3 linked regions of the Oryzias latipes genome follow. The protein of the gene in region 3 interacts with the protein of the main gene of each other region in a biochemical or structural test. Links are inferred from orthologs where the notes say so. Each region holds a gene or a part of one and is shown on either strand. Other genes may lie near its edges.

What was found.
Region 1: the proteins of gtf2b (region 3) and nr2f1 form a complex in vitro, tested with the Homo sapiens proteins (2 studies listed by BioGRID and IntAct). The link is inferred for Oryzias latipes from reciprocal best matches to the Homo sapiens genes GTF2B and NR2F1.
Region 2: the proteins of gtf2b (region 3) and gtf2e1 form a complex in vitro, tested with the Homo sapiens proteins (2 studies listed by BioGRID). The link is inferred for Oryzias latipes from reciprocal best matches to the Homo sapiens genes GTF2B and GTF2E1.

The regions. Positions count from the first base shown.
Region 1 is NC_019867.2:15,614,174-15,625,728, reverse strand, and holds the start of nr2f1 (COUP transcription factor 1), read right to left. Parts: upstream 7,295-11,555; 5' UTR 6,345-7,294; coding exon 5,912-6,344; intron 4,636-5,911; coding exon 4,108-4,635; intron 442-4,107; coding exon 167-441; 3' UTR 1-166. UniProt on the Homo sapiens protein: Coup (chicken ovalbumin upstream promoter) transcription factor binds to the ovalbumin promoter and, in conjunction with another protein (S300-II) stimulates initiation of transcription. Binds to both direct repeats and palindromes of the 5'-AGGTCA-3' motif.
Region 2 is NC_019879.2:29,661,174-29,670,825, forward strand, and holds the end of gtf2e1 (general transcription factor IIE subunit 1), read right to left. Parts: intron 7,520-9,652; coding exon 7,324-7,519; intron 7,235-7,323; coding exon 6,996-7,234; intron 5,424-6,995; coding exon 4,981-5,423; 3' UTR 4,388-4,980; downstream 1-4,387.
Region 3 is NC_019875.2:5,822,081-5,833,706, reverse strand, and holds gtf2b (transcription initiation factor IIB), read left to right. Parts: upstream 1-4,945; 5' UTR 4,946-5,024; coding exon 5,025-5,041; intron 5,042-5,688; coding exon 5,689-5,801; intron 5,802-7,518; coding exon 7,519-7,652; intron 7,653-8,751; coding exon 8,752-8,898; intron 8,899-9,212; coding exon 9,213-9,342; intron 9,343-9,772; coding exon 9,773-10,054; intron 10,055-10,228; coding exon 10,229-10,362; 3' UTR 10,363-10,922; downstream 10,923-11,626. UniProt on the Homo sapiens protein: General transcription factor that plays a role in transcription initiation by RNA polymerase II (Pol II). Involved in the pre-initiation complex (PIC) formation and Pol II recruitment at promoter DNA.

The sequences.
Region 1 (11,555 bases), on a different chromosome or scaffold from region 3:
CATAATGTATTCCATCACAGTTCCAGAAGACAGAAAAAAAGTAATGTCTTCCAAGTTTGTCAGAAAACGTCCTATATATAGTCTTCTTGAAGAAGGATTGGGTGGGTGGTGGTGGTGGTGGGGGAGGTGCTGTATTTTGGTCCTTTTTTCCTCTTTCTTATGAGGATCATTGGATGGACATGTAAGGCCAGTTGAAGCTGCTCCCGGATAATAGCATATCCCTGATGAGGGTTTCAATAGGAGTTTTACCTACCAAGCGGACGAAGAACAGCTGCTCGATTACCGAGGAGGAGACGGTGCGCAGAGAGGGCAGCCGCAGGAGGAGCTTGCCAAAGCGGCTGGGTTGGTTCGGGTATTGGCTCCTCACGTATTCCTCCAGGGCGCACTGGGATTTCTCTTGTAGACTTTCGATGTGAGCAGCGTCCGACAGGCCGCAGGCGTCTGAGGGACACACAGCAAAAACATTGTGGTCAGGCTATTGAGTTCTCTGAGGCCAGCGCGTTCAGGAAAAGTGACCAAACGTAATTCTAATGTATGCATTTCCTGAAACAAGTAGAAGAACAACAGAGGGAAATATATATATAAATATATTTCTAACTATGTCAGGCCACCAGGCTTGCAGAGAAAGTGCATCTGAGGTGATCTAACTTAAAAAAAGACACACAGAAGTTTTCTTTTTCTTATTTTGCTCCCCCAATTTCCACCCCATTCAATCTGATACCCAATTTCCTTCGCGCAAAAGCTTAGTGGTTATCATTCAGCCCCCGCCATTACGCGTTATTGACAATGTGGAATGAACAAACAAGCTGCCCAAACATGCGACATCACACTGAGCGCAGGGGACTGTCATACAGAATAAACAAGGGGCCTGCTGCCGGGTAGGGGACGCACAACTCAGTGGAGGGCATCGCCGTCTGTGCTCACAGCAATCAGGGGGAAATATAGAGCTAAAATGTCAGAGTTTTTGTAAGTGCAGAGTGAGGGGCGGTGGGCCATAAGAGGAAGGCAGGCTGCAGCTTCGGTGGCCGCGGTTCTTTATGTCTGCACTCCAGGGATTAAAGGTATAAGGCAACATAAACGGCACTGATGAATCTGAAATTACTCTGGATGTAATGTGACCTAATTACTCCGCAGTAAGCTGTTAAGTGATTTCGCCGCTCTTCTCTCCATAGACCACTCTTGGCCTGTTTTTATTCCACGTAGCCTATAGGACAGACTTCTGAAAGCAATCGAATTTATTAGAGTTGAGGAAGTCAATAGTCGCATTGGAGCGACATGAAATGTCAGGAAACAGGGCAGGCGCGCTCCGAAGCAGACTGGTGACTTCTGCTGCGTAACAGGGCAAACGCCTGCAAGGTTTTTAAGAATCTAACACGTCCTTCCTGTTGTAAAACGATCTGTTTTTCACCCGAGCACTCATATGTCTTCTTCTGCTTATTATAAAGAGGTGGAAACGCACGCTGCGTAACCGCTGGCATACACGGTCCCACATGAACACCGAGCTGTCCTCAGAAGAGCCTGCTTTTGTAGGAACTGCACATGAAAGAGCGTTTTGGTTTTCCAGCACTATGCACTGAGCAGCAGACACGGGCTTTTAAGCCCTTTCTTAATTTCTCTGCGCTATAACTCACTATAGCCAGACACAATAACCTTTTGAACCCGGGGGCAACGCTGAGATCTCGGGGTGATTTAATGTGACCTCAGCGCGGCCGGTCAGAGCCCCCTGTATGCAAATCCCCCTGGATTAACGCTGAGTGCGTCTTTTAACATCTACAACCAATCGATGGAGCTTCTAATAATTACATTTGGAATTTTCGGCGAGGCTAAAATAGCGCGGGATTTTGGCGACAAAAGAAAAGTATCTTCGATTATGGGCAGCATGTGAACGCATCAGGATAAAGCAGCCCAAAGACACCCCACAGCTCTCCATCAGGCCTCCCTGCGCCCCACAAGCTCAATGGGCAGAAAGAAAGGCAATCTTCCACATCCAAAAGCAGCACATCTTCTTTTGCAAGTTACTGCATGTATGGATAACGAGTTAATGTAAGACAATGATCCAGATCTGCGGGGAAAATACTTTACCCTGGCTACCATTGTTTATGCATCAAATGCTGACAAGGCTGCTGTTATTAAAGGCAAACAATCCACACTGATCCTGCCGAAGAGCCACGTGACTTTCTCTACAGCCGACACCAGTTGTAGCCCATCACGCTAACTAAATGATCTGTTAGAAAACATGGGGGATGCTCATGTGCACATGGATTTCTTCTTCTTCTTTAGTTTCTTTTAATTTTATTTATTTATTTATTTTTTGGCCTCTGAGTCAACTGGAGTGAAGAACCGAGTCTCCGCGCCACAGAAAGAGACGTGCAAACGAGTCTCGGCACACGGTTACAGAGGAGGGGCGAGGGCGCACAGGAACACACCAGTTAACCGCGGTGGGAAATGGATGAAGTAACGCATTTTGATTATGCAATAAATAAATAAATAAATAAATAAATAAATAAATAAATAAATTGACTGCACCTCCCACAGACTTTTTGGTACCGAATTGCCCAAAATCCGTAAAACGTTTACTGTTTTGCCATGATTTTGTGCGTAAAAAATATAGGCATGATTACTCAAGTAAAAAATAAAAATAAATAAAAAAAATTTGAAACAAAAAAACAACATAGAAAACTGAACGGGAACACACTTTGAATGTTTATATATACCATTTCAGCTTTTTAAAAGTTGTACAAATAAAAAAATATATTTTTGAAGAATTTAACTACCTGATCCAAACATATGTTGGTATTAAAGTATACACAATATATTTAATTTAAAAATAAATATATAATATAATATAATATAATATAATATAATATAATATAATATAATATAATATAATATAATATAATATAATATAATACGTTTTATAGAAAATATCAAGTTTCTTTGTTTAAGTTTAGGGAACAAAATTGATTAAATATTTTTAAAAAACATAAACAGATATTAGATTCTGTGATTAAATTCAAAACAATTTATTTACAATTGTTTGAAATATTTTAAATATTTCCAAATTTTACCAGAATTTCAAACTACAATAAAACTGACCATTTCGTCATCAATCGTGCCATGCAGGGATTTCTGTCTTTCTTTCTCTTTTTTTTTTTTGGTGTTGGCCAGATAAATAATAAGCAACTGCTGACAAAAGGTTTTAGAAAGTTTAGATACCGTTTTGGCCACTGAGAACTGTGTTGCCCTTCCTTTTTTCCTTTCACAACAAACTTAACTTGACCTGTAAAAATAATAATTAAAAAAAAGCCCAGACTGCTCCACATAGAACTCCAAAACCACATCTGAATTACGCACAAGATTTAGGACTATTCACCATGTCAGCCATCAATTAAGCTATCATCAATGTAGGTTAGTTTTAAAAACTTCAGCTGATTACTTTTCAAAGCCGCCTGACACAAGTAACTATCCTCAGTAACTAAGAAAATTAATAGGTCGGCTAAGATTAATCTACTAATAACTTATGTTATTAAGTGCGGCTCTGTGTCCTACAGAGGCGAAGCCCTGACGCATCAGACTTGCATGATCTTTTTTGATCTTAGTCTGTTAGGGATTATTTCCTGCCCCCGAAGACATATGTTTGTACTGGAAAAACAGGGATAAAGGCATGCTGCGACATTCATAAACGCATCAGCTGTCATAAATCACCCCCAGACTGACTATTTCATCTCTGAGCGCCACTATGACACCTGTTCCAAAACGTTGGGAGTCCAACTATTGCCTATTTAAAATGTAGTTCAGATACCTTCAAAAAACTTGCTTATTTAATATTAACAGTATTTGCTACACAATTGTGACTAATTTCGGGTTTCAGGGAGGGGCACTTGATCTGTTTACATGCGGGTCCAAGTGACAGGGGGTGCGTTGAGGTGGATATGTGGCAGGAAGTTGACAAGACAGCATTTCTTTGGGCACACCAGCATCTCGTGACCAGTCCACATCTGACAGCAACACTCCTGACGCCACTGCGCCCATCGCTGCCGTGACCAGAACAGGCCCCCAGTTTGAGATCACAGACATGATCCTGTGTTGACATTTCTGGACACCCACCTGATGTGAAAAGCACGATCGCCTTGAGGCAGCTGTACTCTGCCGAGTCCACGTGCAGGGTCTTAAGCTTCTCCACTTGTTCCTGGAAGATCCGGATGTGATCCATGAAAGCCACGACGCGGTCCGCGGACATCGGGGAAGCGTGGAGGCCCGCTGCAGCGAGCAGAGGGGCCACGTGCAGAGGCATGGAGCATTGGGCCGCGTTAAGAACAAACAACTCGCTCCATGTCAGCCTGAGAAGGGACACCTGGTCGGTGATCTGCAGGTCGGGAAAGAAAGGGATGTTTCTCGCCCACTCCACGGCGCTGAAGAGCAAACGAGCCGCCAGCTCGCAGATGTTCTCGATGCCCATGATATTGTTGGGCTGCATGCACTGGCTCCCGTACCGGGACGTCGGGTAAGGCTCAGCCCGCAGCAATAACGAGATGTATCCGGACAGATAGCAGTGGCCATTCAGAGGGTCTCCGTTTGTCAACGCGTACTGGCCTGGGTTGGGTTGGGTTGGAGGCATTCGTCCTCGCTGAACCGCTGACAAAAAGAAAGGAAATAAAGAGGAAATGTGCATCCAGGACTGGTAAACATTATCCACGAGGATTACAGCCGAAAAGCAAGCTCCAGCTAGTATGTCCCCCTCCCCCCTTTTTTACCAAACTGGCATGCAGTGAAATAAACAACTGATGATAGAACTTAGCAAATTATTCTATCGACAGTCTAGAAACACACAACGTGCCCTTTTATCTTTACCCCAAGTCTGAGAGCAAAACAGCTTTCATCTAACAAATTCCTCATCATCCATATTACAATAGGTCAGCAGTCGAGCTTGTGTTCCTGCTCTAAATTTACGCGCAATTGTGCTTATTAGAATTATTACAAACTGTGTCCATAAATGCCACAAATGCGATTGATAATTGGCATTAAATGCAGCCACAAATGCACATTTTGTTCAGATCAAAAGGTCAGCTGCGAATCAAAGCAATCCAATCCGCGTTTTTTTTGTCCTTTTTGGATTCAAAAAGAAAATATGAAGGTGATTCAGCGCATATTATACGCGGGATTATAGTGTTCTCTGCAAATAATAGACTTAACTGAGGGATGTCTGCATCAATTGGAATCAAACACTTGACGTGGCTATGAAAGTTGTACGGCCTGTTAATGCAGCAGTGAGCACAACAATGAGCCATGGGCAAGTTCAGCGGCAGGATTCGGTGTGTCTGAGCAGGAGGAGACGTGGATTTGGCGAATGGCCGTTTTCCACGATGACGCAGCCAGGATCCAAATCCTGCTGTACATTTAGAAATGTGTAAGCCTGTGCTTAAGGGACTGCTAGGGATGGGACCATTAGCCTCTCTCTCTCCCTCTCTTTCTCTCTCTCTCACACACACACACACACACACACACACACACACACACACACACACACACACACACAACTACACGCACACAAGCCCACCTCTTACAAACACTCACGCGCACACACACTCTCCGACATGTTCACATGTAAGGATAATTCACGATTCTGCGCCATAACCTGCATATCAAACAGGCTAAACTAGAACATTTAAAAACAAAGGTCAGCTGGACGAGACGCTTTGTTCAGACGGCCTGCCTCCATGAGCATCACTGCTGCTGCTGCACACTATACCCCCCCCCCCTCCACTACCACCAAAAATAAAATAAAAAGCCTTCATGTAAACATGGATCAAAAAGGAGTCTGCAGTGCACGCCCGGCTAGAGAGCGCCTCTGACCTTAATGCAACATGGCAGCCCTGCGTGTCTGCACTAAAGAGTAAGCTTAAATATTCACCTTCCCGCCGCATTCCCACTTTTAAACACTTCTTCAGCCGGCAGTATTGGCACTGATTTCGGTGGTGCTGGTCAATGGGACAGTTCCTATTGGCACGACATGAGTAGGTTAAGTTCCTCCGTACACTCCTCTTGAAGAAACTTTTGCATCCCTCGCAGGTGAACTGGCCGTAGTGTTTGCCGCTCGATTTGTCTCCGCAAACCACACATTCAATATGCTGCTGACTTTGTCCAGAATTCTGACTCCCCTTGTCCCCGGCGGTCCCCGGCGTGGACGGGGGTCCCGGCTGGCTGGGGGTCTGCGGAGTGTGCGGCGCCGCCGACGCCGCTTGCTGCTGCTCCCTCGCCGGCTGCGCTGCTGGGTTGGGGCCGTTCGGAGGTCCTCCGGCCACGTCTTCCTGCGGATCTCGCCAGACGCTAACTACCATTGCCATATCTCGGCCACGGAAAGTGCTATAAAGCGAAATGGTCGCTGATGTAGATATAGCGCAGAGGGGAGAAAAAAAAAGAGATCTCAAAAGACGGGGCAGTGCAAAGTCAAATCGGTGCACGCAATCTCATATGGGGTTAAAAAAAACGGCGATCAATACATTCAAAAGCAGGAGGGCGACTGGAGAGGCACCCGATCAGGATTTGCAAGTGTCGGGAGGCCAGTTCCAAGGTAAATTGCAGTCAGCCATTCAGGAATCCCTAATCTTGTAGGAAAACCAGAGTCCAGACGTAACAAATTGCAGTTAGATGCTGAATAGCCACAGAGGAAAGGCAGGATTCACGTAGACGCAGGAACAAGTACAAAAAAGAAGAAGAAGAAAAAAAAGAAGAAAAAAAAAGAAAACCTTGTTGGAAAGAAATGCGATCCAAAGTGCAGCGGAGATAAATTCCTTTCTCCTCTTCCTCCTCTTGCTCCTTTACACTCCCGTCTTCGTCGCGCAGGAGGGCAGGAAAAAACTGAAGAGCTGGATTTTTTTTTACATCTATATATTCTTAAATAAGGCTCGTCATCTCGCCCAGCAGCGGAAGAAAATCGCGTCGCCGAAAGAAGTGCCCATGTATAGTTTCACTCCTCTCCAGCAGGAGGAATGGATACGAAGAAGAAAATGTAAAAAAAGAAGAGCAAAAACACCAAATACTAATAGAATATGCAAGACGAAGGAGAGACCCAAAAAATGAATGCGCTTAAACGGGAGGACCAGCAGAGCAATGTTTCCGAAACGGGGGATCTGCGCGAATGTCTGTATATAGTGAACTTTGACACTACTATTGAAACTGACACGTTTCTATGGAGATCGCTGCGCCTTATATGGTGCTCATGTCAAGGAGCCAAGAGAGGGGCTGCTGGAGACTGATAATCAAAGGCGACTGACTGGCCAGAGCCCTGCATAGAGGAGGAGGAGAGGAGGAGAGGGGGGACAGAGGGAGAGAGAAAATGGGAGGCTGAGGTTATAGCCAAGCCCTCTCTGTTTCTCTATTGGTTAGAATCCCCCTCCGCTTATCCACTGCAAAAAGTGACCATCTCAGAAGTCATCCAGTCTCGTGTTCGGATGTGAAAATGTGATTTTATTCGTAAAATACAGCAGGAACCGTGCATCTGGGTTTGAAATACACCTCCTTGTGTTTACAGTTGGAGAATGTTTTTTACGCCAATATATCGGAGTCCAGAGATGGGGGGGTGGGGGGATTTCTGTTGGAAATACATAGGCTGCGTAAAGGCGCATGATGGATCGACTGGTGTCGGGATCCAGGAAAGGCATTACGCGTCGAAATGGAAGCTTGTGTCCGCCTTGTGATACCAAGCCTCGGCGCTGCACTGAGCGCCGTTTGAGGCGTGGATATTTTTTACAGCGCTGCCATCTACGGCTGGAGGGGCTGGGGGGAATGGAGAGAGGGAGGGAAGGGAAGGGGGGCGGCGGTGTGAGTGTGTGTGTGTGTATGGGGGGTGCTCTGACAGGCGCAATTTACATTGAGCTCGCCCCGCGCTGCTATTTACTTTGAAACCTGATTAGTATGGGCCGTCTATTGTCACCAAAAAGAGGAAGAAACCCTGGATAGAATAGCGAAAAAAGAAGAAAAAAGCGGGGTAAAGGCAAGAGAGGACAAAGCTTTTACGCTTGACAAATAAACGAAAAGCAGCGAAACACCACTCTGCCTCAGATATTGCCCAAAGTTTCGGACCAGTCTGTGTGGAACTGTTGTCTTTATTTTAGGAATAAGTGACATCTTCTTTTTGGTTCAAATTGATTTCTTCTGTTCACACGCTGTTTTGTCCTTGGCGTGCGCATTGCGGTACACACCGCCGTCTGTGAATGGCACAGTTCTGCTCATTAAAACTTACCATTTAGTTTAGATTTAACATAACATAAAGAAAAAAAATATCACAGGAAAAAATAATGCACATTTGTACTGTACAAACGGCGGGTCTTGCAAATGAGCCGAACATCTCTAACAAGATAAGCTGTTTTGGATTATTTCTAAAGTCCTATAGACTGCAGACGGTGGCACGTTGTGTCCTAATATTGACAGTAATTCAAAATGAAATGAAGTTACGGGGGATTTGCATGGGGATTCCGCCTTTTTGTATCAGGGTTTCTGCAAGCTGACTATACCTCTCCTACTCAAAAATGTCTGGATCGCGCTGCCATCTAGCGTACAATGTTCAATTACAACTTCATATGCAAGTTTTCCGACATGCATTTTTAAAAGCTTAAAATCTGATATTAAAACAAGCTTTTCCAAAAAAAAAAAATCATTTTTTAAAAGAAGCTACATTTTTAAATGTGAGCCTCAAAGTGGTCGTTTTTGCATTATGGTTTCCTAAAACTTTTAAAAACAAAGTATTTATCTTACTGAAATAAAAACACTGTCAAAAAAAATTAAAAAAAGAGGATAAAAGAGACGAAAATACTTTTGTCTTAAATTACATGCATTAAAAAGTCAAAAAGACGTGCGTAAAATCTAACAGAAGTATTGAATGTGTTAATAATAAATAATAAATGCAATGGTAGTTTTTACAAAAAAAAGTATTTTTGTGTTAACCATCTCTTACTACGTGGATTTACATTAAGATATAAAGGAGCGTTAATATGCAAGTGCCCCTTTTGAAAACGCACAGGAGGGATGGTTTGTTTTTAAGTATTCAACAAGAGAACTCTCTCTCCCGTCCGTGCGTCGGACACTCCACTGAAACTCCTCGGCCATGTCCCCAGCTCTTTGAAAAGGTGAAACCAATAAGATTAAATCAGACAAAGATTTTTCCCCTCCATCTTAGTGTATCATTAAGATTTAACTCTGCAGACTGGAAAGAGGGTCCACAGGAGAGAAGAGAGGAGAGTGAGAGGGATAGCGCATGGGAGCAGAGTAGACGCTCCAACAAAAAATGTTGGGAAACAGCGAGTGAAAGTGGACGGCAGGATATTAAAGGAGGAAGGAGCAGCAGCAGCAGCGGCGGAGGTTGTCAGCTTTGCAGCTGTTTAAAAAAAAATCATCCATAAGGCAAGTCAAGTTATTTTTCAAACTTCTCTTCCACACGTTTATGGCGCATCTTTATTCCCCATTCACGCAGATTACTGAAACCCGTTTCCAGCGCTCCCCGCCGATTTGTACTGAAAGTAGTAATGCTATTAGAGGCTTGTTGGTACCACGGGACACGGGAGTTCTTTCCCCGAGCGTTCCGCGCACCTCACATGCGAGCGTGTCTGTTGGTTAAACACATAATGAAAGGATCGATAGCCGTCTGTTTGTTTCAGCGATACTGTCACGGGGTATAAAGGAGTGATCAAGGGGAGCAGACATTGGCCATCTTTAAACGTTGTTTTTTTGTCTTCCGCTTTCGCCAGTCAGAGAGCGAATATTATTGATCCGCGGAAAATCTCTGCGCATCGGAGGAGACCGTCATGTGTCAGAAAAGGCTGCCGAAAGGAAATGTAAAATGGCAATGCCTTATGATTGATCAAAGCGACACTATTGATGTGAAGGGACTGCAAAACAGGTCAAACTATTTCGACAGAAAGAAAACATCAGTTAAATAACACACGATCATTTATTTTTCATCTCCAAATGTTACAACAAAGTTTATAATCGTTTAATATTTTACACAAGCAAGTGTATTTTATGACCTGATATTCAGATTTTTCTATGACTACACATTTATGCACGTCTCATAATAATATGTGTACTTAGAGAAAACACATATATATAAGGAAATAATCCCATTGTTTGACATGTCATTCCTGTGATGGATGCATTTACGCAGAGCACAGCCGTTTTACGCACACTTAAATTCAGACTAATGGACCGCTTTGCAGCCTCTAATTAACGGTATTAACGTAAAAAAACAAAACAAAAGATACAAAACTGCTCACAAATTTACAAAATAATTTCTATACACATAGGATGTGCACGCTTAAATACATTTTCACCCAAAACACCAAAACACTCCAGCTGTCCCAAATTGATATGATGCGCACACAGACTCAGAAAATGAAGCTGAACCAACAATCATTTGGGAAAACGCTGAGGTCACGAAGTGCAAGCCCCCCAACATAAAACGAGGAGAAGAAAAAAGAAGAACACATTTAAGGGTGTTTAGAGGGTATTTAAAAACACCCAGCGTATGTAGAAAATGTATTAACGAGGCTTTCTAATATTGATTCTGTGTAAGCAAAGAATGCTGTCAATAAGACATTGCTGAGAGGCTGATTTCCCCTTTGCAGAGGCCTCTGCTCCAAAAGCCTCCCGTGCAGACTGGAGGTCTGTGTTTCTGGACGCCGCCGCCTGCAGCTTTAACACCTGCCTGCAAAGTTAGCGCAAAAGAACAATCTAAAGCGAGTCCACTGATGGGACCTTTGAAGGTGTAAGTATAGGCATTATAGCTCACGGCTGCATGTTTGACTAACGCACTCATTGATCGTCAAATCGAGCAGGAGACGTGGTTGTGAAACATCCCCTATCATTTCTATGGCGTGCAAAAAGTTTGTTTGAAGGGGAATGATGCTGAAACCAACGGAAGTAAACACATAGACGGATCCACGCACTGCGTGAATGCACATTATCTAAATGACCATGACACCAGACTTTCAGAATTTAAAAACAATAGCAGTTTGATATTTGAATTCAATTAAAAGTCAAACATCCATTTATGAGGTTTTACAACTGAACACCGATGGGGTTTTTTCGTCAAATTTGCCTATGTTTGGCAACAAGGGGAAATTGTCTTTAGCAATTAAGGTTCAACGTCACAAAAAGCCCTTCTTGGCCTCTGACCCGTTTGTAGCTGGAAGTTGACCCGCTTTTATGAGCAGGAACGCATTTTCTGCAGTGGAAGCAAAACTAAATAAGACTAAAAATTAAATAGCAATACAAACATATCACAAAATGACAAATATGAATAAAAAATTGTTTTTTTATACTAAAGACGAAGGTTTTGTTATATGGAGTGTGGGGTGAAGAGAGGGGATTTATGGCGAGTAAGGGGGCGCACGGAGCCTCTTGTTTTGTCCACAAGGTGAGGGGAGAGGGATCATTAGAAATCACCTGCCTCTCCACATGGATCTGCACTTTCACACACCTCCATAATTGCTCTTAATGAAAACATTGTGTGTAGAAATTTAAGAAATGCTTTTAAGGTTAAGCATGTAAAGAATGTGCTA
Region 2 (9,652 bases), on a different chromosome or scaffold from region 3:
GCTTCTTCCCTACAGGTGTCCATCCTCTCAACTTAAAACGAATGTATGGGCTTGTCGAGCGACCCCACAGGTCTTTATCTCACCCAGATTCTCTTGACATTTTCAGCCAAATATCTGTAAGGGGATTTTTTTTTTGCATCCGTTTGACACATCTGTTTAGCACTTTCTGTGTCGTCGTCTAGCAAGTAATGGATCTTTTTAATTAGGTTCTTAAGTCAGAAGGGAGAAGAAAAATGGAGGACAGGGGCCCTTAAGGAGACAGAAAACCTGAACCACTGAAAATGCAGCAAGTTTCTACTGAAGATCATGCTGGCTGACACATTCATAATTGTAAAAATGACTGAAGTACACTCAGAAAAAGACCAATAACAAAGGAAGACGCTTTGATCCCATTGAAAGGCTTCTTCACCATTGTGCTATCTTTTGGGGTCCAGATGACCCCACTCTCAAGTGGGGTCAAAGAGTGGGTTAAAGAGGCATTAAGGCCAAACTCAAGAAGAGCTAAATGATAAACTCTTTTCCTCACCGCTAAATACTCAAAAAGAAATGTTGTTTTCACCATGGAACTTTTAGTGCTTTTCTTTGAATGAACCCAGCAACACGACAACGCTCAGTGGCCTCTAGCATGTGTGGAAACCCCACAACCCTTAAAATCTCAAAATAAATGCAAACAGAATTAAAGCTGCGAGCAGAGTTGTATAGACCGCAGGCGCTACCCGCCAGCCCCGCCCACCTTTGACCCGAACTTACTTGCTATGACCCACATATGAAAACCCGCCGACCCCCCCCCCCCCCCCCATTCCATCCCTGTCAGGCTGGTCAGAGCTGCATGTTATTGTTCGTTTGTTTTTAATGGCGGCTTTTCTGTTGGCGTTGTCTCCATAGCAACCATTTTACTTTTGGTCACGTGAGGATCCTGAGCAGATCTAAGGAAGTTTCAGAAGAATCTGCAGAAGCAAGCTTTTGGATTTCCTTAGTCACAGAGGTTATTTGGTAACCACGCCCACACTCCTAATATGTTCATATCCTATCATTTTTTTCAGCCACGTTCCATGCTTTACATTTTCACAATATCCCGTAAAAAATAAAAATAAAAATGCAAGTAAGAGGAGAACGCCACTTTTGCGAGCTCATCGTGAGCACGGCATTCAAAATCTACAACTTGTAATTGCAAAGAGTGGAAAGAGATTTCAATCATAAATAAATATATATTTAAATATAATATATTATATAAATATATTAGAACACAACAGTAAATATTTGTTGTACTGCTCTTTGATATTACCATATCTCACTTACTGTATAGACATTTGTGGGAATAATTCTAAGAGTTCACTTCATCCTCTCTTTTTACTTCAAAAACCAGCCGTCAGAATTGTACATAAAGCCGGAAATATTGATCATACAAACAATTTATTTAATCAATCTAGACTTTTAAAACTGTTTGACCTTGTGGATTTTTACACCAACAACTTGTATACAGAGTCAGTGTGAAATTGTTACCATTCAATATCCAGAAACAGTTTTTAGAAAATGAAGAAGAAACAAACTGAGGAAATGTAGGAACTTCAAGATCAAACTGATAAGAACCACAAAGAAAAGTTTCTGTGTGTCGGTGTGTGGCACTAAACTTTGGAACGGGTTCAGTAATGAGCTCAGACAATGTTCAAATATCCAAATATTTAAGAAAATGTAGAAAGAAACTCTGATTTCAGGATATGAAGATAAGAGGAGTTAAGGATCAACAGGTGTTTGAATGATTCCAAATTATTTCCAAAAATGTGTAAACTTGATTGTGTTGAAAGAATCAAAGCTCTTTTAATTACAACCAATGAGTATTACATTGTAATGTGCAATAATGATTAGTGAAATGTTTAAATTACAATCAATAAACTATTGATTTTCTTTACTTGATCTGCAATGTGTAGCAATGATTACCGTTTTATTGTGATCATGTGTTCTAATAATCAATGATTATTACATAATGGATACTGTTACTGTTTACTGAAATCATGAAAGAAAGAATCTGTTGGATCAGAACCAGATTACAAAAACTGTAAAACTATAAAATAAATTAACTGAGCAGGGGTGGGATTATATAAATTCGCTTCTTTCTGCTCCTTTTCAAGCAATAAATCAACGTTAATGATCACTGTATTTCATTTAGCAAATGTGATTTAAGTGACTTTTTTGTTTTGTTTTATTTTCTGTCTTTTTAAACTATGCATTTCAACATTTCTGTAATGAGTTTGATAAATATGGGTAAATTATTTATTCCTTCGACTACAATGCTTGAAATAAATCAATGAATCAAATCAAAATCCCCCCCCCCCCCAATCCCCAATGAAGTCAGGAAATGCTGGATGAAAAGTCCTGTGGAATATTATTATTTAATTCCTATGAAATTTATGTCAACAAAACTCCAGGGGGGTGAAAAATAACTCGAACAAAAAAAAAATTATAATTAAAAAAAAAAAGTTTCCTTTTCCCAAATAAAGGGAAAACGGGAAAATTTCCAAATTTCTCATTTTGTCACATAATGCCAGCCATAGGTCCTGTGGCCATCCCATAATGATTTCAAAACTTCCTTTGGATATCCCTGACATGTTTTTTGATTTCGTCAGAGGATATGTACTTTTTTTTGGGGGGGGGGGCTCCATTAGCGATTTCCCACCCATTTCTTTTTTTTTTTTCCCCATTTTTGTCTGCAATTATGTCATCGTTTTTTTTTTTGTTGTTGTTTTTTTTGGGGGCTCCCTTCAGACAGACAGTGACCTTCACTGTTACAAAGAACATTTCAGAAATAGTCCTTCTCACCGTTCGGCATCGCGCTCAAGCACAGTCACTCACCCCCCAGGTAACAGACACTTACATTTGGTCATAACGATCAGGAACCTCCGGATGGAGAACCTGAAACGCAGGCCGAGGCTGAAAGGGTTCAAAAATGACCTTAAAGATGAGCTCAGGGAGCAACAAAAGAGTGACAAAGCTGCCACTCAGGTTAATGACCTAAATACAAACAGCTGAGGATCTTTAGGACCTAGAACCAGGAGTGACTGGCAGGAGAACACAAACCTGAGAGCAGAACATGAGAGGAACCAAACCCACAGACATCATCCTCACACATCTCAAAGTTAAACCTGGACTTCTTTTAGACTGTTTGAGTTGTGCAACGTTGCACTTTTTCTTCATATTTATCGTTGTTTTTTTGACAAATGAAAATGTTCCTGTTTTTCATCTCCCCCATTTTCCTGAGTTTGGTCAGAGTGGTTCTTTCATTGTTTTCGGGTGGCAGCGGGGGTCCGTCTTCCTGACTGGTTCCTTTTGTTGATTTCTCCTTATTAGGAGAGATGGTGCTTGTAAAAGATTCCACTTAGCTATAGACCAATTCAGTTTTCTTAGCTTTCCAGCCATAATATAAAATTCCCAGATATACAATTCAATCTCCAAGTAGGTTATACCTTAAAACATTGTAGTTTGGTCACACGCTTCTCTCCTGCTTATTTTCTTACAGCCTGACTGCAGTTTCTGCTTTTGTCGTGACGTACAGGAAATTCATTTTAGTTCCTCGGGACTGAAACAGAATGGCGGCGCAGCTCAGAACCCAGGTTTTCAGCGGCCTGCAGCGTCTAATCTCATTGGCTGTGTGCCACATGGGGGGGGGGGGGGCGGGGGGGGGGGTTTGCTTCAGAGGAGGGATAATCCCTAAACTCACCTTCCTCATTCATGCTCTGACACACCAGGTGTCACAGAGACAAGTCCCCAAAACAAAGAGAAGGAGCTTCGTAACAGCTCCTGCAGCGGCTGCTAAAACTGAATAAAGTTTCTCATGAAAAGACCTTTGTCTATATTTGGACACAGATGCAGACAGCAGCATCGTGTAACCCTTGTGCTATCCTAGGCTCTTTAACGATGGGAGTTGGGTCATCTAGACCCACTAGACAGTGCTCTGAACCTTTTTTCTTCAATGATTTGTGATCTTCACTGGTGTCCATGGATTACATGAAATCTTTCCACCTTTATCCACCTTTGTCGTGGTAGGGAGAACACCTCAATGGAAGGGGGGGGTCATCTAAGATAGCACAAGGGTTAAGGGAAGAAAACCGTTTCCATTCATAGCAGAACCAGAGGGAAAAGATTCACACACACAAAAAAACAAACATTTGTGTTGTTCACAAGCTTTCCATGTGTGGTTTCAGCAGAAATGTTGAGCTGCACATTTTTCCTTTTTGTCAAAAAAACCCCAAGATGTTCAGGAAAAATTCTGATTGGCTGTTCTGGTTTTTTATCGTTTTTGTAGTTTTTCTTACAGCAAAAACTGTAGAAAAATCATCTTTGGGGACTCCTCAGGTTTAACAGAGCAACAGAGAAAAAAAATGAATCAAAGCTTCAGAACAAAAGTTTTATTGACAAAAAACTCGTATTAAAGGGAAATTAGCCGCTGCCATCCACTGCTTTGATTCCCACAAACTGCAAGTTTGGCATTTTAGCAGGAAATTTAAGAACGCAGCATGAAGACAAAATGCAATGGAAAAAAAGGATGTAACTCTGAACATGTTTTCACTTAATACTGAACCCACACTGACTTTTATTCTCAGCATCTAACTGTAAATCACTGCTATAAAACTCTGTGTGGAACTAATTTAGACTTTTTTTTTTAATCCTGTCTTTTGAGCGGCATCGCTGCTGAAGGAGTCTCAACTCTGAAGAAGTCCTTCAGCAGCCAATCCAACTCCTCTTCCTCCTCCCAAAAAGGAGACAGGAAGCTGTAAAGGCTGCAGACAGACTTTGGGTGGATCTGCCACCAGGATGTTTGTGTTGAGGACATCATCTTTCCAAACACTGCAGATGGATAAAATACTGCAGGAGGGACACCTCCCTAACAGATGACAGCTTTCCTCTGCTAAAGTTTAAACACGTGCACGTGTGCACAGGTCCTCCAGCCGCCGCCATCAGATGAACACTGGGTGTGAGCCGGGCTCAGAAATACATGTCCTGGAAAAGGTTCTGTCCCATTTCGATGTAAGCCTCCTTCTCCTGCGCAGACATCTGCTCCACCAGCTCGGGCCTCTGGCTCACCTCCCTGTAGGAGAACGGCCGACCTCCCACCATCACCATGGGCTCGTCCCCCACCTCCTCGAAGTCGTCCTCGTCCTCTTCGTCCTCCTCTGGGCGCCGTGCGGCTGCGATGGGAGGAGGACCTGCGGGGAACTCGTCATCTGATTCACTGGTGTCGCTCTCTGAGTCACTGGCGTTGAGGGCGGAGGACGCGGCAGGTCTGGAGGAGGCGCCGGCTCCGCCCACCCCTGGTCCTGCGCCGGCCCTTTTCTCGTGGATGAGGAGGGCGCGCATCACCTCCTCGTTTTCGTCTGTCTGATCGCGAGCTGCAGCTCCGTCCTGAGCCCCAGGCAGAGCGGCTCCATCTGAGGGGACAAAACGTGAATCCATCCCATAAACGGATCTGCAGAAACCGAGCCAATGCCAATGTTTGCAGGTTTTTATTTGACTAAAGAAATGATCGGTCTACTTCCAGGCTGCGCTGCACTAAAGGAACTTTTCTCTTCCATGTTCTAATTCAGGAAATTTTTCTTTTTTGAAGTTTAAAATGAAACTAAATCTGACATTTTGGACAAAAGATTTAAAAAAAATCAAATCAGGAGAAAAAAGTGAGAAAATTATTTCTGCCTTCCAGAATTTATGATGATTTAGATCCAGACGAACAAAGAAAAAAGCTATTATGGTTTATACTCAGCATACAGATAACTGTATGCTCAAAATAAATAATAACTCAAAATAAATAATAATAATAAAAATTAAAATAAAGACCACTGTGATGAAAATGATGTTTCTAGCGAGTTCTTTAGACATTTTTCTGATGATAGAAGACATGCATAAAGAAAATGACGCATAAAATTGCCTTTTGGGGTTAATCTGCCAAAACTGACTTTGCAGAAACTATGTCCTCCAATAAGACTGTTGGCTAAAAACGGCATAAAAAAGAAAAAAAACTCTTTCCTGTGGTTTTTACCAGAGGAATTCATGACTCCATAGTAAAAGTTACATCTTTATTCAGTTTAAAATGCTTTTTTTTCTACAATGTGTTCACAGCCTGAACCTGAAAAACGGCACTGGGGCAACAGAATTGTTCTTGTTTTTTCAAATATAAAGACAATTTATTACTAATAGTGAACTATTTGATATCAATAAAATAAAGAATCTTCTAATCATTTGCAGGTTGAGGATTTCTGCCTGAAGGGCAACAACAGACGCAAACAAAGCAAACAGACAGGATGTTTGGAAGGAATGATTCCTTCATTTCCACAAAAATGGGTTTTATTAATGAGGCGCCCGTGCTCTGCCTCCCACTAATCAAGTCTGTGATTGTTTTAATTGAACAATTATGGTTCTGGAAGGTCTGACCAGCTCTGAGTGTCACATGGCCTTTGGCAGCTTCCTGGACGGAGCCTGAGAGCCTCGTCTGACCTTTGACAGTCTGCTCTGCCTCCCCGACCTTTGATTTAATGCCGACTGTCCTCTGGAGCCAACTGGAGGTCAAGGCCGTCGATTTCAGTTCTTGCTAAGCTCCGCCACCGCCGCCCACTTTCATTTAACCAGACGAAAGGCGGCATTTGAAAGAGCAGACGGGTTTTCTGACGGAGACCCAGCGAGAGGAACTGATCATGAAACATGAACTGGTTTGTAACTGAATTATAATCAAACCTTTTTGGTTCTGTTTGATCATTTTGCTGTACCTGACCGTGTTCCTCGTCTCTGCTCCTGCTCTTACACACAGTGCCTGTATTGTTAACAGACTTCTTAGGTTCCTCTGTTATCAGACACGGTTGTGTTTGTTCACGTACCTGACGTGTTTCGACGGACGTCGAAACACGTCAGGTACGTGAACAAACACAACCGTGTCTGATAACAGAAGAACCTAAAAGGTCTGAGATGACCATTGTGGCACATATTATATGAATTGGTAAGGGAAACGGTACCGCTCTTGAGGGCGTCTGCGTCGCTGTAAGCCCCCTGGACGGTGCTCTGGGTCAACCACACCGGCCGCTCCTTCAGGGCCTTGGCCTCGCCGATCGCCTTCTGCTGCGCGTCCTGCTCGTCCATGCTGATGACCACGTTCTGGGTGTACAGGTCTGAATAGGACGCTCCCTTGGTGGACCAAGCCTCCCGGTGCTGTCCACCGGCGGCGTTTGCCGCCGCCGCCGCTGCGCGTTCCCGACTACAGAGAAGGTTCGGTTAATTTCTCGTCCTCCAAACTTCCTGCAGGGATGACCCCCGATAAGTGGAGAATTACAGACTGATGCAGACCTCTGTTTGAGAGCAGGGATCTCTGCGGGCTCCGGCTCCAGCAGGTCATGGGACAAGTTGACGTCTTCGGTTTCACGTAGAAGCGCGTAGATGGGCTCGATCTGCTCGTTGAATCGAGCCACCAGAGTCCTGCCGTCGGGACAGACAGAACTGTCCTCCTCCACCTCAGTCTGGCAGAAGGTGCAGCGAAACGTCCCTGAAGGTGGAACAAGAACTCACCTTGAAGCTGTGAGAATGAGGAACCTTTAAACCAAACTAACTTGGAGATAAATCAACATCTTTTAGCTCAATTTATTATTTTATTCTCCATGTCTATCACCTTCTATGGCCTGATTTTTGTCCACTTCACCTGATGTTTAGCAGAAATCCTAAAGCAGCTTTAACTCTATAAAAAAATCTGGTTTGTTATGTAAAGAATGAGTCATTTTCATTTTATTTCAGTCATTTTCCGGTGTAGGTACCATAACCGTTCGGCCTGGAACTTCCGTTCGGGATCCTTTCGACTGAAGATAACGTCACACTACAGCAGTGCTTCTCAAATAGTGGGGCGCGCCCCCAGGGGGGGGCACGAAGCGATGCCAGGGGGGGCGCGCGGTGGTGGCGGTTTTAGGCACAGGTTTGTCCGGTGCGCAAATTTAACGTGGGGGCAGCGGTGACAGCGGCTCAGTGCTTGGAAAATAATCTGGTCCACTATTCGGTTCCTATTGTCTGTTCTGTCTGTCCGCGGCTGCGCGAGTGAGAACGAAAGGGGAGGGGTGGTGTGGGCCCTGTCTGCCAGGGGAATCGGGGCACGCGGACCACTGCTACCGCTGCCTGTTGCCCAAGATCACCGCTGCCCTTAGATTCCTAAGCTCATGCTAACAATGTCATTCTTTATGAACTATTGTAGACATTTTGATGACGTGTCTTTATTTTCCATCCATGTTTTCTTTGTCTGCCTGTGGTTTAGTTGGTGTCAGACAGACATAAAGACAGCAGGTAATGCAGGAAAACAGCTGCACTTTTATGAGATCAGAAATAAACAATCCGTCATTTAGAAAAAAAAAATCAGCACGTTTTTACCTATTTCTTCAGACTAAAAACGTTAAATATATTGGTGCTGCTGTGTTAATGTTTCAGATCAATTTAGATTTAATATTATTTATTGATTGAATTATTTTTTTCAGCATCAAATGGTTCAGTTGGTCAAAATGTTTCTAGTTTAAATAAGGAATGACAGATTTTTTTTATTTCAGGTACTTTCAGCTTCTTTTCTGTTTTAGACTAGAACAGGGTTTCTGTGGCTAAATAAAGTTAATATTTGTTGAAAGTGGATTTATTTTGCTTTTTTCTTTTGTTAGTGTTAAAAGATACAATTTTAGGTATACAAATTTTATAGATACTGACCTGATGTATTGTCACCGCGCGAGTGTGTCTGTGTGTGTGTGTGTGGGGGGGGGTTATGGGGGGGGGTCAGGGGGGGCGCGAAACATTTTCTTTTCCTAGGGGGGGCCTGGCAAAAAATAATTGAGAAGCACTGCACTACAGTAACCCCACTTGGACAAACTACGTACGTCCAGATCTGCTCGGGCTCTACAAATTTTAATTTCACGTTCCCTTTTCTAACCCAGTGTTTTTCAACCTTTTTTGTGCCACGGCACACTTTAACCTTGACAAAAATCCTGCGGCACACCAGCATCCAAAAAAATATTTAAAATGGAAAAACTCATAGTCTGTATTGTTCTACAGCCCCTCTGCAATCTCACATGCTGTTTTTTTCTAAAAGATATAATAAAAGTTAAGTCAGAAGATTTAAAAACTGTTTGTGTTCGTTGTGGTTTCAAGACGTTTAACAAAGAAAACTCATTGTGCGCTGAGACGCTGTCACTTTGACCCAATGCATCATGGGAGATGTAGTGATGGCAGACAGACTCTCGTCTCTGAGCTTCTTTGTTTTGTTCACTTTTTCCACGGTCTGACACCGGATTCTGTGGAAAAACTAACCCAGCTAAGGACGAGCTTTAGCTGGTATTTCTGTTGGAACTGAGAGACTTTATGAGCAGAATCAGAACAAGGAAGTGAAGACTTTAACCACTTCTGATTGGTCAGACTGATGACGTGTGATTAAGCCTCCAAGAATGATTGGTGGAGACAGTTAAAGGGGCGGGACTTTTCCTAAAACAGCTGTAGCCACGGCTAAATGGCGGTACCGTCATTCTTATCAAAGTGTCTTTAATAGAATCAAATAAACACAAAGAAAAAAGTATTTTACGATCTTTTATATTCCTAACTTCTCAGTGTTTTATCAGGGTCTGTTTGGATGAACACAGAGCTGAAATCCTGGAGGGAA
Region 3 (11,626 bases):
ACTTTACCGAAAGGCTTGTGTCGCCTTTAACCTCAACGGTTAAGAAAAGCTTCACGTTAGCGGGGGCGGGGTCACCTGGGGGGGGGGGGGGGGGCGGAGTCTCAGCCTGCTTTGAAAAGTTGTAAGTTGACGCGCAGTGATGCTCCCACGTGACCGCGGAGTTACGAAAAAAAACCTGAAATGAATTAACCGATAGAATCAAGTGAGGCTAAATCAGAGGAAAACGGCCGTGGTGGTTAAACTTACGTTATAAACAAAACACAACGAGGTCTTCAAAAGAGGAACTAAAAGGATTTTCGTTCATCATGTAATGCTTTTTTTCAGTTTGTGGGTCAGGTGACATACAGACATGGATGAGAGAATCAGCAAAGAGAAAACTGTTTACCCGGTACAACAGCATTGATCCGGCGTTACCTCCTTCACTTAGCGGGAGAAAGAAGTGCTTTGACCTCATCTGTAATGACTAATCTATACATTTCCAGGAGGGGAGCATGACCCCGTGTCCTCACCGTCACAGTAGGGTTATCTCGGTGCAGGTGCTGTCCTCTTCCCGCCACATGCCACTTTCTTTCTCAGCCGCTCATCAGGTGCGTCTTCAACCTCATTTGTCGGCGCCTTTGAAACTGGAGGAGCTCAGTTTGGAGACGCGCGCGCGCCTGCGTGTGGGAGGGGGGCGCTCGTGGTCGCGGGGCTTTCCGAACGGTTACCCCCATACCTCAGTGCGCGCGTGGTGCCGTTTTTCCAGGTAGACTTCCATCCTGAGGAGTGTTGGGGAGGGCAGACAGAACCAACATGGACCCCGCAGTCTGCGCTGGTGGAGTCCAGCACAGCGCCTCTCATTGGACGAGGACGGAGGAGCCACTTCCTGTAGACGCCCGCCTGCACTTTTATCTGCCGCTGCATTCACGTTCGGCTTGGAAAAACGGATACTTTTGAAATTAACATTCAACTATCAAACCCCGCAAAGGCGCGGAAACAACAACATTCTGATTATTAATCTGAATACAGTAAATGTATTGTCAACTAGACGGGGAAAAAAGTGATGTTTCCTCCAAAACGGAATAATGTTAGGATAGTCCCACAAAGGATTTTGCTTCTTGGCCAAGATCAGGCTAGAAATAGAAACAAAAACAGGACTGTGAAGTAACCCCCCTGGTTAATTGACCGTCTTCTCTATCTGTATACATTTAATCTGTATGTATACAATAAATATCTTCTGAAAATAATCTGTTTTTAAGGACGAGTTAACAGCCGCAAATTTAGTAGTAGTAGCTTCAGTAGTGCAGTTACAATAGTTACTATTTTAAAGCAAAAGGAAATGTGTTCACATAGAACTAAACAAAACAGAGTCAAATTTCCATCTTGGTGTCGTATTTCCAACAGTCCTTTAATGCAGCACAATCTTGTGAGACTTGGTAATAATTTAGCTGACTCATGAGGACTTGTGTGTTTCTGTCAGTCTCTCCTTGTGTCTAACTGTGTCTGAAGATAACCGCCCAGCTCTTCCTGGACCTGCCCGATGCTGCACTGCTGGGTGGAGGGAGGAAGTGTCAGTTGCAGTCGATCCGTACAGGTTTCAACCGGTCCTGACCTGCTGGCTGCTGCCAGCCTGTTACCACTCAGACTGTTCTGCACGGTGACTGATGGAGAAGAGAAAATGACCAAAGTGGGGGATAAACCATCTGAAATTAACCACCAGGATCACGGCAGACTAATAAACAGATTATTCATTTTTTTCTCTCTAGTTTCATCTGCATTGCAGAAACTACATTGTGTGAGTGAGACACAAGAATGTTTACTCACGGCTGGGTGTCATCTTCTTCTATGTTATCCTCCAAAACGTGCTTTCAGGCAAGAACGTATTGAACTAAAAACTCCACATGAAAACGGACCGTCTCATTTGTGCCAAATAGTTAATCTTAGACAGAAACGAATGTAATGGAGATGTTTTGATTCATTATTAAGTGGTTTTTAGCTTTTTTGTGTGGTGCAATGGCATGCTAGTGGTTGAAGAAGAAGAGGTGCATGTGAGGTATGTGGTTTAATGGTTAATCACTGTGGTTTTCCTGTCTGGGTTGGCCTTTAAATGAAAGCTGCTGAAATGGTCCTGGCAACCAGTTTACCGAGTTATCCCATGAGACGCTGTTGTAAATTACCCAGCACAGACCTCTGCTTTCAGCTCGCATCGGCTCTGCGCTGAAGGGCTGCATGTGTGGTCTTGTGGTAGGCTGAAGGAATGCAGTAGCTGCATGAGGTTTGCTTAATTAAAACATCAGGAACTGCAAAAATGTTAATATTTGAGTTTAGGTGGCATGCTGCCTTCAGGAAATGATTCATATTTCTGAAGGAAGATAAGAAAACCTGAAGAAAAAATTGTTTTCCTTAAGTCTGCCTGTTGCACATGCTCGCCATCATGTCATGACTTGTTTCTGAGACAAGCACAGATGCGGCAGGAACTCTTTTGACTTTTTGACTGACTCAGAATTCCTAGAATGCATGTCTTTTGAATCCATCAAAACAAATCGAGTCATAAATGGCTGCTCAGCTCTGCTGATGCCGTGTGTGACAATAGACTGTGACTCGCTGTCGTGTCACTGATCCAAGCTGACATCAGCGGTGAGCCTTTAAATTCAATTGACTGCTAAATGATGGCGGCGAGCAGCTCTGTCCGTTAAAAGGAGAACACAGTCTTCTTCTGAAAACAGTGAGCTTGGGAAACTGGATAGCCAAATAAGTTTCTTTCGGTTATAGCTCCATCTGCTGTTGCACATGGCGGTGTTCAAGTAATGCTGACCTTTTGCTTTAGGCTGCTCTGAAGGAGGAAAACCAGGGGGGTATTCCAGAAAGCAGGTTATGCTAGTTACCACAGTAAGTTTGAGGCTAAGGAAGTGGATAACCTCAGCTTTCGGTTCCAAAAACAGTGGTATGTTTCAGGGTATGCTTAGTTCATAGAAACTCATGCTCTGAACATAACCTGGTCTGGAGCAGGTTTAGTTGAAGGTTAGTTTGTTTTCAGAGAGGTGAAGCAGCATGGCGTGTCCATTTGAAGATGATTTAGTGGATGAAGAAGCTCAGATAATAATTTTTCCACCGTGAGAGGGTGATAAGACCACATATGGATGTACACATCTATTATCAGTGCAACTAAAATGGCAGAAATATCGTACCTATCCATCCGTACAGTTTAGATCCAGATTCCAGCTCAGACCAGGTGTGAACGAAATTGTTTTATTATTATCATTGTTTAAGTGTATTTGGTTAAATGTATGTTTAAATGTTAACTCAGAGCTACCTTTTTACCTTTTTAGAAAACAGTTCTGTGTTTGTTCATCTGTTTCTCATCCCCAGCTAGGATGAGGGGCTTTAACGACACACTGTCCTGAGCTGATAAAGAATACTGTTTGAACTTAGAATCCACCCAAATGGGTCATTATACGACACCCCCTAATGAACTTTTCTATTTGTCTGGAAATTGTTACCTCCTACTTGAATTCTTAATAAAAGGAGCACGGGGAGAAGCAGTCATTTGAGAAGAGAAATGTGGTGGACATTTTCTGCCACATTTGCTTTTCTCCCTCGTGGATGACAAACTTGATTATTGTTGTGGTCTGTTTTTTCTAATTGTGTTTTTCTTTAATGTCTAGATGCATTTATCTGACACCAGGAAAACAAAGATGTTCATGGATCTATTTGTCTGCAGGTGATGATCAGAATGGAGCAGGTAGCTTCTGGTTTGCCGTTGCAAGTTCTACGTCACTGCTACAAGCTTTTTCAAATCCTAACTGTACTCTTTGTTAAGAACACCCAGAAACAATCAGCCACCTATTTTGGAACTGTAATATTACAAAAAAGTTTTGGAAAGAATGTACTTGTTTTATAAATCACAAATTTGACTCACAATTTCAGATGAAATTTGAATGAATCATATTTGGCCTACATAAAAAGAACATAAAATCAAACATAAAATTGAAAATTAATCCAATCATAATATAAAGTAAGTTAGACATCAACAAATCAAAATTTCACAACTTTTCCCCCCTGTATTTATTAAAGAATTAGAATCGTATTTATGTACTATTTCTAATAGCACAAACAAAAAAGGGAATACGTATTTATGAAAATTCTCTGTCTTTGAACATATTCAATGTATTGTGATGTGTTTTACAATATTTCTATTGTAATATATGCCATCCCCTGGCAGTCCCGTTTTTATGACTATTGTTCTTGTCATACATACTTGTTCTATGTGTTGTGAACAGTAATGCATTAAAAAAAACATTTTTTGGGGCAGAAATGCAGTTTTAAGATTAATTTTCTATATATGTCATCATATCATATCATGAGAAAAATGCCATTAGAACATATTAAAAACACCAAAAACGTGATTTCCATTAAAGTGGGTCTTTAACTTGTTTTTATTGGTTAAATGTTTTAGTAATGCTAGCTTAAAAATAAATGAAAGAAGCTTAAGAAAAAAAACAATGTAAAGAGAAAAAAAGACACTGAAGCACACACTCAGGTTTGAACAGTTCCCCAACCCAAATTTAACCATGACTAGTTTACCCCGACCTTAACTAAGCTCATTTACACATCAACCCTTTGGCCCGCGAGGGGCCAAAGCCTGCCCCTCATGGTCGATCAGGTGTCTGAAGGTCTCTGTGGGGTCAACATAAACCTGAAAAGCTGAAACACAACAACACACAACGTGTGTATTCATCATGAACACACGAATGAAGACTAAGAAGATCACCCAACTTCAACTTTCTAGTAGACCTGTCAAATGTGTAAACGGCAACAACATTGCAGGCAATGTAGTCTGATGATTTATTCGCTTTGGGTCTGAAATGTAAAAGAAAGGGACAGGTTTATTTTTTTCACCAAAGGTGACACAATATTTTTGACTTTATTTATTTATTTATTTTTAAACTTATTTGGCCTTCTTGACTTCCCGTAGTTGGTCACGTGATCAGAATAGTCTATAAGTACAAGTGCTGCATCCGTCCGGGAGAAGAGAGCGGAGGAAGATGGCTTCGACAAGTCGGTGAGTTGCAATGGCTGCTAACCGTTCAAAGCCCGGTTTTCTTTGTTAATGTGACTCAAAGTGTCTCGTGGTAAAAAACCACCGCGTCTTGTGATTGACCGTGGGACTCTGGCGGTAGAAAGTGTCGGGCTCCATTTTTCTTCTCGGGAATGTTCAGTCTTTTGTACTCCGTCCGTGACAGCCAGCTAGCTCGCGGGCAGCTTCACGGAAGAGGCTGCCCGTTAGAACTCCCGGTTTTGTCGTTTCTCTGACATCTGAACGTTGGCCTGAAGGAGTTCTGGATCAGCCTGAAACTCCGTGGAAACGCGCACGTCCGCACATTTACCGGGACTTAAACTCGTTAATATTTCTTTATGCTAGGAAAGTTGAAGCGATCGTGAAATGGGTATTTCCCATAATTCAACGCGTTTTGTTTTGGTGGGTAGATGACACAAGCAACTACAGAACCAGGCGACTGATAAATACTGGAAACATAGGCTGTTTGTAGACTTAATAAATATTTGTTAATCCTATCAAGGTGTCTGGCTTCTTCCTTGGAGAATGTAGCGGAACATCGACTTTAAGGGATTTTCTTTGTTCGTCATTTATTTGTTGTTTTTGTGCTCCTTTTTAACATTTTTGTTATCATTTGTGTTTTGCTTGTGCAGCGGAGATGCTCTCAGTTTACCCAGAGTGACATGTCCCAACCATCCTGATGCCATCCTGGTGGAGGACTACCGCGCTGGGGACATGATTTGCCCCGAGTGTGGGCTTGTTGTAGGTGAGTACTTCAATGATAAACCTGTACTTGGCCTACATTTGTTGGAGGTAAAATGGGTCCATAGCTGGAGAGGTTTGTCTTGATGCTGAAGCTGTAAAGAGTTCTGTGTGACCTGGCCTCCACAGTCAGACCTTCACATGCGCTTTGAACAAACCTAAAAGCTTTTTTTTCCCTGCTACCGTAATTTCCGGATTATAAACCGCCACTTTTGTCACACGCTTTCAACCCTGCGGTTTATTCAATGATGCGGCTGATTTATGCATTTTTTCTAACGGCTGCTAGGGGCGCTCGAGCAGAAAAGGAAAGAGTGAGACGGGGGATAAGGTATATGTGTCGAGGAAGACACAAGTTTAATGTAAATTCCCGCTTTCTGAATGAATAGCACGAACAGACCCTCATCATGGAAAATGCAAGAAGAAATGCATATGAGGCAGCTTTCAAGTTAAAAGCAATGGTTAACAGCAGTGTGAAAAAATCCACCATCACCAACGGGTTTGGAAAAGCCGGTCTGCTGCGTGACAGAGAGGACAGTGCAGACTCAGGAGAGAATTTACCTCAGGATGAGAGTGACACTGACAGCGACAACGAAGGAGAGACACAGAGCGTGTGTGGTGAAGAATATCTGACGCTTTTCCAATCCGACACTGAGGAGGAAGACTTCCATGGTTTCAGTGCACAGGAAGTTCGTGCTGCGCAGAGGCGAGCGCCAATAAGTTACTGCTGCTCTCAGTGACTTCTACCACGATGTTTTTTTTAACCAGCCCTGTTAGTGCTGTTACTACCGTATTGCTGCCGTGTTACTGCCGTGTCACAGGCACTGTTTGGAATAGAGCTGTGACGGTGTGGGATTTTTGATCACCGCGGTGATGAAGAAGCAGGAGAAGTCACGGTGTCGCGGTTTCCAAATAAATACCGGTATAAGTAATAATTACAACGCATTATTCTTTAACAAATAACAGTAACAACTAAATCTACCTAATGAACTAACTACATAGGTGTTGTAGAATGAGTATGTGTTTGTGTCAGCACACTGGGTGTGTAGGGGGAAGGAGCGTGAGTGAATGAGAATGCTCCCTCTTCCTATCCCGCTGCACGAGCTCCCCCCTCTTTCTCACACACGCCGGCGAGCGGTTTCAGCACGTACACATCCATTCTACAACACATGGTTCAATGTGGGCACATGCGGGCGGCTTAGACAGGTGCGGCTTATGTATGTACAAAATGGTTTATCCTTTAAAAATGTAATGGGTGTGGCTTATAATCAGGTGCGCTCTATAGTCCGGAAATTATGGTAATTATGTCACCTGTAAAGGAAGTCCATTTTATTCTCATCACGGATCTATTTTCAGCCATTTTTCCTCCAAAGAAAGATCAAAGCTCCAGGACTTTGATCTGGAACGACCACAGTTTTCATTTTCTTTATCTGATTGTCTTATTTTAATGTTGATGATGAATCTGCATCATTTACACACAACAGTACAAAGCAGTACGTCTGCAGTGTGTGCACAGATCAGTGTAGCACAATTTATCCCTCAGAAACGTCAAAGAAGAACCAAAAGCACATCAACAAATATCCACCAGAACCGTCAAAGTACGGTTTAAACAGAAAAACGAGATTGTTGCTCAAATCAATTACAAGTAATTCAGCGTGTAATCAAAGTTTCCACTCAGCCTTTCTAACATCACGGTTCTGGTTCTTCACGCCTTCTGTCCTTAGGTGACCGGGTCATTGATGTGGGTTCAGAGTGGAGAACCTTCTCCAACGAGAAAGCTCAGAAAGATCCATCCAGAGTGGGAGACGCCCAGAACCCTCTGCTCAACGGAGGAGATCTAACTACCATGATCGGCAAGGTGGGACAGCAGACCTGTGGTTAGCTGTAGATAGGGGTCCAACAGATCACGGATGATTCCTACGGATCTCTAGCCACGGTTCAGCACACATGTCTACTGCAGATAACCCCCCCACCTCCTCGTGTGCACCTCGCACGACTTTTGTGATCCATTGCACCCCTAGTGGTAGAGTGACAGCTGTGGTTCAGGTGATGGATGGAGGGGTGGATGGTTGGATGGATGGATAGATGGATGGATGGAGGGGTGGATGGATGGATAGATGGATGGAGGGATGGATGGATGGAGGGGTGGATGGATGGATAGATGGATGGATGGTTGGATGGTTGGATGGATGGATGGATGGATGGATGGATGGATGTAGGGGTGGATGGATGGATAGATGGATGGATGGTTGGATGGATGGATGGATGGATGGATGGATGGTTGGATGGATGGATGGAGGGGTGGATGGATGGATAGATGGATGGATGGATGGATGGATGGAGGGGTGGATGGATGGATAGATGGATGGATGGTTGGATGGATGGATGGATGGATGGATAGATGGATGGATGGATAGATGGATGGATGGATGGATGGATGGAGGGGTGGATGGTTGGATGATGTAGGGATGGATGGATGGATGGATGGATGGATGGATAGATGGATGGATGGTTGGATGATGGATGGATGGATGGATGGATGGAGGGGTGGATGGTTGGATGATGTAGGGATGGATGGATGGATGGATGGATGGATGGATAGATGGATGGATGGTTGGATGATGGATGGATGGATGGATGGATGGAGGGGTGGGTGGATGGATGGATAGATGGATGGATGGATGGAGGGAGGGATGGATGGATGGATGGTTGGATGATGTAGGGATGGATGGATGGATGGGTGGATGGTTGGATGATGTAGGGATGGATGGAGGGAGGGAGGGAGGGTTGGATGGCACGTATCCCCTCTTGTGGGTGAATGTCTTTCATCTGTGCGTTCACCATGAAGTTGATGGTTTTCTGCTTTTCATGTTGCTGCTGGTTTTCATGTTGCAGTAAAGTTACTTTCTTGTGAAACACGGCTCATCCACATGTGGGTTCTGGGTTCTTCTCTCCAGGGAACCGGGTCTGCAAGCTTTGATGAATTTGGGAACTCCAAGTATCAGAACCGGCGGACCATGAGCAGCTCGGACCGGGCCATGCTCCACGCCTTCAAAGAGATCAGCACCATGGCCGACCGCATCAACCTGCCCCGGAACATCGTAGTGAGTGGAACATCTGAGCACATCAGCTGACCGTTTAAGTCCCGCCCTCTGAGCGCGGTCGTACTTCGGTTCCTGTCCCTCCTCTTTGCTGCTGACGCCGTGTTAGATTTCATATTCCTTCATGTCTAAAAACCGCATGAAGCCTAAGAGCAGGTCAACGATAAAGGTTTTCATGTAAGCTGAACACCATTGAGGTTCAGGTCCTAGGAAGAAGGAGGCCTCTTCAGAGGCCTGAAACATTCTGCATGGGTCCTGACTGCTCATGCCTCCATGACACTTCCAGTCTGAGCTTCACAAACGTCTTTGCTCTGCAGGACAGAACCAACAACTTATTCAAGCAAGTTTATGAGCAGAAGAGCCTGAAGGGCCGAGCCAACGACGCCATCGCATCCGCCTGCCTTTACATCGCCTGCAGACAGGAAGGAGTCCCCAGAACCTTCAAAGGTCAGCCAGTTTATAATAATAATAATCCGATACCGACAACAGATATTCCCCCTGCAGCTGATGGGTGATGTCTGCAGATACTCAAGTGTCTACAACAACGCAGAGGTTGCTGGACAATCACTTTGACTTTTTTAACATACAGCACAGAATCTCATAGGAACATGGTTCACTTTAAAACCGTCATGTAAATATATTTGACAGCATTCAGAGCATTTATTGAATATTGGACATAACTGTAACCATAAACTCCCCCTCAACTAGGTCTATCTATTAAGAACACATATCTCTATCAAAAAGAACATTTGCCTGAAAACAGTCAGAAAAATATCGGTAGATTTTTTAATATCAGACCGATACCGTTGAACTGCAAATGTTGGCCATCCCTAGATTTCTTCAACACGTCCAAGCTAACGGCAGCGTTTCTCTGCAGAGATCTGTGCCGTCTCCAGAATCTCCAAGAAAGAGATTGGTCGGTGCTTCAAGCTGATCCTGAAGGCTCTGGAGACCAGCGTGGACCTCATCACCACGGGGGACTTCATGTCCCGGTTCTGCTCCAACCTGGGCCTGCCCAAGCAGGTTCAAATGGCGGCCACCTTTATTGCGAGGAAGGCCGTGGAGCTGGACTTGGTTCCGGGTCGAAGCCCCATCTCCGTGGCGGCAGCAGCCATCTACATGGCGTCTCAGGCGTCTGCAGAGAAGAAGACTCAGAAAGGTGAGACCACACGACAGAAATGACCCAAATGTCAATGTTACCAATGTTAGAGACCGGTGAGAAGGTCCGTCTGCACCTAAACGCAACATGAGGCTGGGGACCGTTTGGGTCCATCCTCTCCTGTTGGAGCAGATGTTCTGGATAGTTTACAGACCGGGTTCTTGTGTTCTACAGAAATTGGAGACATTGCTGGAGTGGCGGACGTCACCATCAGGCAGTCCTACAGGCTCATCTACCCCCGCGCTGCTGAACTTTTCCCTCCCGACTTCAAGTTTGACACCCCCGTCGACAAGCTTCCCCAGCTGTGAGGAAGACCAACCTCCAACCTCTTCCTCCGTCTCTGGTTCTGCTTTTGAATTTGTGAAGGTGGGAGGATTTTTCAGCCAGGAAGGATCCCTCGACAGAATAAAGTGGACACACATTCCAGACTGTTGTTTAGTATTTCAGTTGTGTGTACAGACTGTACCATGTGTAAATGTCCCGGAGGGGGGGGGCCATGCTCGCAGTTTTAGGCTGGTGTCAGACTCGACCCCTAAGACTGTTTTTGTAGAAAAGAAGCAGCTTCTATTTTGTTTGAATTAGTAATTTAAGATGACGATTTTCATGAATCATCTCGTGGTTTGAATAACAATAAACGGTTCTTTATAAAAAATAAAAAAATCTTCATCTTGTAAAGTTCTGCAAATATTCTGCTGAAATGTTTCTGAAGGACGGTAAAATGTTGACAAATTTGTGAGCAACTTTGTCTTCAGCATTACGTTTCTCACTGATGGATTCTTTACCCCAAAGACGTAACTCACACTTTCAGATTCCTGTGTATAACCAGAGGTTCAAAATGTAAAATCTTTTGATAAAACTGGAATTCTTACATTTTGTGTAAATTTTAAGAAGTTTCTGCTTACGTTTTATTGAAAAATATCAAAAGCTTTTGCCAAAGATATTTCCTACCTTCAGTTATTTGGAGCCTCATTCCACCAAACCCTCTGGGAAGGCCTGAGCCGTTCAGAGCGGTGGACTCCTTATGCACGCCTGAAGACCTCTGGAGTCTCTTCCAGACCCCTGGAGTCTCCTGTGGACCCCTGGAGCCTCCTGTGGACCCCTGGAGTCTCCTGTGGACCCCTGGAGTCTCCTGTGGACCCCTAGAAACTCCTGTGGACCCCTGGAGTCTCTTCCGGACCCCCTGGAGTCTCCTGCATCTCTGTTGATCTCATCTGAAATTTCTTATTTCTGCAAAAATCCATCAGATTTTTTAAATTTAACCAATTCCTTCTGTTCCACAATAAGATTTAGGTTTTCATGACATGGATCAACATTTCAAATGTTGCACATAAACATGGACCTGTTCTTTCTCCTTGAACCTGTGACTTCTGGTGGAATTTCCTCAAAAGCATTCAGTGGTTTAGCAGACAAAACAGTCGATGTTTGACTCTACGGGTACCATGGTTTTATGTTGATCGTTCTGATCCTCTGACCTAAAGTGGATCCAGATCATCTTCATCCAAACTTCCAGCAGTGAGACTCAGACAGAAATTCCTGCTACTGAACAGTGAAGTTTTCCAGATTATTGGATTT